Linked DNA regions of Canis lupus familiaris. The protein of the gene in region 1 purifies or fractionates together with the protein of each later gene. This does not show direct contact. Links are inferred from orthologs where the notes say so. Each region holds a gene or a part of one and is shown in the gene's direction. Other genes may lie near its edges. The genes, in order: KBTBD8 and PKN1.

Region 1 (3,821 bases):
GAAGCAGGCTCCATGCACCGGGAGCCCGATGTGGGATTTGATCCCGGGTCTCCAGAATCGCGCCCTGGGCCAAAGGCAGGCGCCAAACCGCTGCGCCACCCAGGGATCCCTGGATTAGTTTAAAGGAGAAGAAAGAACAAAGAATTTTGCGATAAGCCTTATGATTGCGAAGGTCATGAAACTTAATTATAAAGAGTTTGAAATTACAGTCTTTAGATTTTAATTTCACTGCAGTGTATGATATCTTCCATAATATGTTTTCAGTTTTTTTTCACTGAAAAGCTTTGAGATGTCCCCTTTTTCTTTACGTTTGTTATTATAAGCATCTATTTATATCTAATATATTTAGCTTTAAAAAGTGTTTTGTTTAAACTATTGAAGGTTAATACTCTGGCAAAGGTGAGTGTAGAGTAGTAGTAGAAAGAAGCACCAAGTAAGTATAAGTAAGATATTTGATCCGGTCTTCTAATTTGTGATACCTAATGTTTTCTCTGTGTTTGGCTCCTTAAACATTTTAGTTGCTTGAATGTTGAAAGCGATGATGATAATACTGGCATCCTTATTCCTCTTCTGGGTTTCTTAATTGCTTATATGTTTTCCTCACACTATTCGTTTATAAAACAAGGAAAAAAGCGATTCTGTGTAAATATACATGATTTTTTAGCTCTTACACCATTTAAGAGTATGTTCTTCGCTCTCATCTTTTATTTGACTAGAAATGCCTGAACCCACTTGTTTAAACTTCAATATCAAGTTAATTCTCCAAAAGGAATATTAACTATCTAGTACCTTACTATAGTTCAGTAGAAGCACGGGCATGATTAGGTTTGCTCGTCTTGCTGAATATGGAAGATAAGACTGGATGTATAATCTGTCCAGGGTGGTTGGACAGGTTATATCATCCAGTATGATGAAGCTTTCTCTACATATACTTTGGTCTTGCTGGCTAACCATTAGATAGAATTAATTAAAAGACTTCCAGTGGGAAGGTAAAGGTTATATATTAATGTAAATACTAAAAGTAACAATGAATTAATAGAATTTCAGGACTGGAATGAACATTGCTTAATCTGAGGTTATATCTTCTATAAGAGAAATCTGAGGCTCTAAAATTTAGTTTTCTTAATTGCTGTCTGGTTTAAGTTATTAAGAGGACTTCATATTTTAAAAATTAACTTGTGAGTCATCTTTTTATAAGAAATTTGTAGAGAGGTAGTGCATGTTAGGAAGTTTTGTTTTCTATTGTCTTTATTAAGAATCCTGTTAAAACTCAGTGAGGGTAATGTTGGTAAATTGAATTTAAATAAAATATTTTTTTAAAAAGTCAATGAGGGTAGGGTATATATACAACCAAAAGCTGGTGGTTTAATAAGCTCTTCTAAGAAAAATTGAAATTATAGTGTTACTAAGTAGGCAGTTACGTTTGTAGATAAGAGTAAACCTCGTTCAAAACAGTTTTGAAGGGGAAGCTCAATTTAGAAGTAGGTATTTCTAATCTAAACAAAGCTTCTTTATATAAATAAAGTTGATATAAATAGAGGCTTATGCTGCACTATATGCGGCTACTGGAATATCACTTAATGTCCATAAAAGATCCAGATTTTTAAATCAAGGATTTTATACAAATATTATAGCTAGCCAAATTCTTGTAAATCTTCACTAGTTTAATTCTTTTAGACATTTTTATATTGGCAGTCTGACTCAGCCACACCCTTTTATCATCAAAATAGAATTGAAAGTGACCTGAAGTCAACTCCATGAACTGTGTGTTTTCTATCTTATCAAAGCCATGTTTTGTCCTCTTAACGATTTGTGTTATAGCAGCACTAAAGGAAACATATTAATGGCCCATAGACATAAATCTGAACAATTCCATGTGCTATCTTCTAATTAATTAGCATATAAATGTGTAGTGGCTTATTCATGATGAAGCTGTATACATACTTTGATCTTACCGACTAACCATTAGTGATAATGCTCTTTTAGAGCTGGCTTAAAATAAATTTTCTGAAATATACAAGTGAATGGAATAAATGGAGCCAAGCTTTCAACTATTATTCTGCCTCTAAGCCAAAGTAACTCCTTATACCTCCCTACTACAAAGCCCCAAATCAGGTTGACTATAATATTAGGTTATGTTCTGCTGTGGAATGAAGAAGTTTTAAGTTATATTATACTATATAATGTATCTCTGGAGATTATAAAAGAAATATTTTAGAAAGTGAAAGATTCAGAAAATTATGTTTTTCAAAAATTATGCTTTCGGTTCATCTAACCAAAAAGAGACATGTAAATGTATATATTCTTGGTTTTCTTTCTTTCTTTCTTTCTTTCTTTTCTTTTTTTTAGGAGAATTTTTCCTCTTCTATGAGCCTCAAAAAGACTACTGGGGTTTTTTAACCCCCATGACTGTGCCTAGAATCCAGGGCTTAGCAGCTGTCTACAAGGACTCTATCTACTACATAGCTGGAACCTGTGGAAATCATCAACGAATGTTTACTGTAGAAGCCTATGATATTGAGCTAAATAAATGGACTCGGAAGAAGGACTTTCCATGTGATGAGTCCATCAATCCATACCTTAAACTGGTACTTTTCCAGAATAAACTGCATTTATTTGTTCGAGCTACTCAAGTGACCGTTGAAGAACATGTCTTCAGAACCAGCAGGAAAAATTCCCTTTACCAATATGATGACATCACTGACCAATGGATGAAAGTGTACGAGACCCCAGATCGCCTCTGGGACCTTGGCCGGCATTTTGAATGTGCTGTTGCTAAACTCTACCCTCAGTGTCTTCAGAAAGTACTTTAATGAGTAGCAGGCCTTAGTGAGCTCACTGGCATCTTGTGCTTGGAGAACTTAGTCTTTCAATGATACAAGAAGTGCTGTCAGTATTTAAGAAGCTGAGAGAGTTTGTACATGGCAATGGGTGCTCTTAAAGATTACAGTGTAGAGAGGGATTTCTTTTCATCCTTGTGATGTTTTCATTTCATTAAGCAAAAGGTAACAAAGTGCAATTATCAGCATTTTTTTTCTGGTATATAGTAATCATTTTCATTCTAGAATTTTGTGATAATTCATCACTGAGATACCAGATGAATCAACAACTATGCACTCTTATAAGAGCAGTTAGGGTATTATGGTTAGAGACATCCAAACTAGTTTGTTGTGACTTTTTATTTTAAATACGGGTAAAAATTTGAGGCAATATCACTAGGACTTTAGCTGTGACCTCTCCAACACAGAGAAGCACTAACTTAGATCCTCATTCTATAATATATTTGTGTACTGTTTTCAAGTGTACTGAGATTTAAGTGTGTTTTTAGAGTAGGTTGATGGAAAACAAATCCGTCTAAGAAAGAGCTTTTACTCTGCTTGTTTCATATTTCCCATGTAACTTTAAGTTAAGCTAAAGTTTTAAAGTAGCAGTTGTTTTTATTGTTGTTGTTGTTGTTGTTGATAACTTTTTCAAGTGCTGACACTGTCTCATTATTTACGAATCCCGAAAAGGGCTTAAATTCGCAGGTGGCTGGTGCTAGTATAAGTGAATTCATGGGTCTAGCTCTATGGGTTGAAGTTGTTTGAGCCTGTGCTTACCTTTCAAGTTGGTATGCTGGTTTTGTGGCATAGTACTTTACCTGTTGAACTCTTGTGATTTCACAAGATTCTCTGCTTAAGTGATAGCAAGATCTCTAACTGGACTCAGTTTTAGAATAGTGAGAACATGACACTCAGTTTGCACTAACATGGGCCATTTTGTTGCCCAACCTCCTTTCCCATCCTCCACCCATCCCTTCATTATCGGTACAGTGAAAGGTA
Region 2 (3,821 bases), about 24 Mb from region 1:
GACCCTGCCAACATGTCCTTTAAGCCTGTGTGGATAGTGTACCTGTGTAGATGACTGTCCCTGTATGACAGCCTAACTCTGTTCCTGGGATAGTCCCTGCGGGTGACAGTGTTTGGACAAAAGAGTGATTGCATCTGGGTGGAAGTGTGACTGACCGACTGTGACCGCTTGCTTGGGAAAAACGTGATACGTCTTGGTGGCCAGTGCCTGTCTCCATGCATGAGTGTGCGTCCGGGGCTGGGGTGGCTGAACCCGGGTCCTAGGCTGGCCTTACCACCTGGCACCCCACGCCCACAGGGAGTCCAGACCTGGGGGCCGTGGAGCTGCGCATCGAGGAGCTGAGGCACCACTTCCGAGTGGAGCACGCCGTTGCCGAGGGTGCCAAGAACGTGCTTCGCCTGCTCAGCGCAGCCAAGGCTCCCGACCGCAAGGCCGTCAGCGAGGTGAGGGGCGGGGCCTCGGCGAGGGGCGGGCCCCAGCAAGGGGGCGGGTCCAGCAAAGGGGCGGGAATTGACCTGGAGGGCCTTGAGGGATGTGGAGGCTTCGGCCGGGGGCGGGGCTTCAGTGGGCGGCACCTCGGTCGGGGGCGGGGCCTTGGTCGAGGGCGGGGCCTTGGTCGAGGGCGGGGTCTAACGCTCCGAGAGCCAAGGAATAGGACCCCGATGGTTTGAGGGGTTAGGCCAGGTAAGACTTAGCTAGGCCCCCCCCCCCCAGCCACACTCTGTCCCTCCCGTCGCAGGCCCAGGAGAAACTAACCGAGTCCAACCAGAAGCTGGGGCTGCTGCGGGAGGCGCTGGAGCGGCGGCTCGGGGAGCTGCCCGCAGACCACCCGAAGGGGCGGCTGCTGCGGGAGGAGCTTGCTGCGGCTTCATCTGCAGCCTTCAGTGCCCGCCTGGCCGGGCCCTTTCCCCCAACGCCCTATAGCACCCTGTGCAAGCCCGCGCCACTCACAGGTGGGTCCTGCCTCCTCAGCTCTGTACTTTGGATGGCCTCTCCCCAAGTCCTGAGACCCCTAACCTAAATCTCCATTCTCCCTACCCCTGGACTCCCATCTCACTGTTCCCTCCGTTCTCCATTCACCCTAACCCTGTAGCCCTGGGCCCCATTTCCCTAGGCCAGACACCCCCATGCACTCTGGACTTCTAGCCCCGGCTTGCCCGCTGATTCTGGACTCTGGCCCCCATGCCCACCATGTCCCCATCACTATCCTTCCCTACCTGGCCCTGGTATTTCCTACAGCCAGAGCCCCCCAGCCCAGTCCCACCACCCCTCACTCTCAGAACCCTCAGTCTGGAACCATTGTCTTCTCCCACCCTAAAGTCAGCCAGCTCCTCCCTCCTTAGACCGCTCAGCTACTACTTCTCCCTTAGAGACCAGCCCTGCCCTAGACCCTTGCCCCCATCTCGGACCTCAGGTCAGCTCCCTGAATCCTACCCCAGAACCCCTAGTCCAACCCAGCTCCCCATTGCCTTGATCATCAGCCTGTGCCCTAAACCTATCTTCTGTCACTAATTCCCAAGCATTCAGAGCCCCTTCCCAGTGTGGCCCACCCCAGTCTCCCCCCTCCCCCTTGTCACGTATTTCTCACTTGGGCACAGCCATCCCAGTATCAGATCTCCTGTTCCACCCTGATTGTATGCTGGCCACATCTGGACATGTCCACTTCACCTGCAGTCCCCACCTTTTGGCCTGGCCCAGATGTGGGTCCCCCTGAGCCTGCCCCTCCCTCAGGAACTCTGGAGGTACGTGTGGTAGGCTGCAAGGACCTTCCAGAGACCATCCCCTGGAGCTCCTCACCCGCGGCAGGGGTGCCTGGGACCCCTGACAGCCGTACCACCTTCCTGAGCCGCCCAGCCCGGGGCCTTTACAGCCGCAGTGGAAGCCTCAGTGGCCGGAGCAGCCTCAAAGTGGAAGCTGAGAACACCAGTGAGTGGGCACTAAGGCCTGGAGGAGTGAGATGCAGTGGGGATCTTAGGGTGTCACACACTTGTAACACTTTAAAAAACTGATACATTACAGTCATTAGGATGGATTCTGTTAAGAAAAAAAAAAAAAGTGTTAGGGAGATAGTAGAGAAATTAGAATCCTCTGCAGTGCTGTTGGGAACATAAAGTCCTTCAGCCACTGTGAAAAAACTAAACATGGAATTACTATGTGATCAGTAGTCCCACTTCTGAGTGTATATACAAAAGAGTTTAAAGAAGGGACTCAAGTTGATAGTTGGACACTCATGTCCATAGCAGCATTATTCACAATGGCCAAAATGTAGCAGCAACACAAGTGTCCATTGACAGACAAATGGCTAAACCAAATGTGGTATGTGTGTGCGGTGGAGTAGGTAGTATTCAACCTTAAAAAGGAAGGGCGTTCTGACACAGGCTACCCCACAGATGAAGCTGAGGACATCACCCTAAAGGAAATAAGCCGGTCACAAAAAGACAAGGACTGTATTATTCCACTTCTATAAGGTACCTAGAGTAGTCTAATTCATAGAAATGGAAGAAGGATGGTTGCCAGTAGTTGGGTTGGAGGGGAGAAGAGAACTTTTGTTTAATGGGGACAGTTTCAGTTGAGGAAGATGAAAAAAGTTCTGGACATGGATGGTGGTGTAGTTGTACAACAGTGTGAACTGTAAACTTGAAAACGATTACAGTGATAAATTTTATGTTATATGAATTTTACCACTTTTTAAAAAATCTGATGTATAGGAAAAAGTATGTATAAAAGAGGAATAACAATGGAACAAACACCCACGTTACCACCACCCAGGTCAAGAAATAGAACTCTCTAGAAACCCCCTTGCCCCTCCTCCCCTTTCTAGTCCCTTTCCCTGTCCAGAGGTAGCTACTCCCCTGACGCATTGTTATCATTTCCCTGCTTTTCTTCGTAGTTTTAGCATCAATGTACACATCTCAAAACAACAGAGTTTAATTTTGCCTGGTGTTTGAACTTTACATACGTGGAATCATACAGAATGTATTCCATGGTAATGGCTTCTTCCATTTAACATAGTTTGGGAAGTTTATCCATGTCGTTGCATGAAGCTATAGTCCATTCATTTATTTTAACTCCTGTTTATTTATTTTTATATTTTTTTAACTCCTGTTTAATAGCCCATTAGACTATTAGACTGAGCCATATCAATTGTGGGGGCCTTTTAAAGTAAAATATAGTAATTGTTGAATATCAGTTAATAAGGCTATGTTATAGCTTATATATTCTATTTATAGATATTTCTAGTTTGGGTCCCTTATATACGCATATATGGATATATATGTATATATGCATCTCCCCATTATACCTGCATGCATTTTTCCAGGGTAAGTTCTTAGGAGTATATTGCTAGAAGTTGCATATAAAGCGAAAGTGAATTTGGATCTCTACCTCACATCATACACAGAAATCAACTGGAAGTTGATTAAACGCCTTGATGTGAAAGCTTTGTGAGGGTAGCGTAGCAGAATGTGATGGGTGGAAGGGAGGATTTCTTTACTAAGATATGGGCCAAGATGCCTCCCCCCAACTCCAAACATTTCCCGACATCCTCCTCCACCCCTCATTCCAGGCGAGGTTAGCACGGTGCTCAAGCTGGATAACACGGTGGTGGGGCAGACATCCTGGAAGCCATGTGGCCCCAGCGCCTGGGACCAGAGCTTCACCCTGGAGCTGGAAAGGGTGAGCTAAGTTGGGGGATGGCAGGGCCTGGATCCAGGAGGAGGATCCAAATCCTCCTTGGGCAGTGCCAAATGATGGCACCCGTTCCTCTCCCTCCAGGCTCGGGAACTGGAGTTGGCCGTGTTCTGGCGGGACCAACGGGGCCT

Evidence for each region.
Region 2: the proteins of KBTBD8 (region 1) and PKN1 purify together in Homo sapiens (affinity purification with western blotting; 3 studies listed by BioGRID and IntAct, with this or other methods). This does not show direct contact. The link is inferred for Canis lupus familiaris from reciprocal best matches to the Homo sapiens genes KBTBD8 and PKN1.

The regions. Positions count from the first base shown.
Region 1 is NC_049241.1:24,609,741-24,613,561, reverse strand, and holds part of KBTBD8 (kelch repeat and BTB domain-containing protein 8), read left to right. Parts: intron 1-2,349; coding exon 2,350-2,813; 3' UTR 2,814-3,821. UniProt on the Homo sapiens protein: Substrate-specific adapter of a BCR (BTB-CUL3-RBX1) E3 ubiquitin ligase complex that acts as a regulator of neural crest specification.
Region 2 is NC_049241.1:48,568,764-48,572,584, reverse strand, and holds part of PKN1 (serine/threonine-protein kinase N1), read left to right. Parts: intron 1-297; coding exon 298-443; intron 444-739; coding exon 740-953; intron 954-1,731; coding exon 1,732-1,926; intron 1,927-3,565; coding exon 3,566-3,675; intron 3,676-3,774; coding exon 3,775-3,821. UniProt on the Homo sapiens protein: PKC-related serine/threonine-protein kinase involved in various processes such as regulation of the intermediate filaments of the actin cytoskeleton, cell migration, tumor cell invasion and transcription regulation.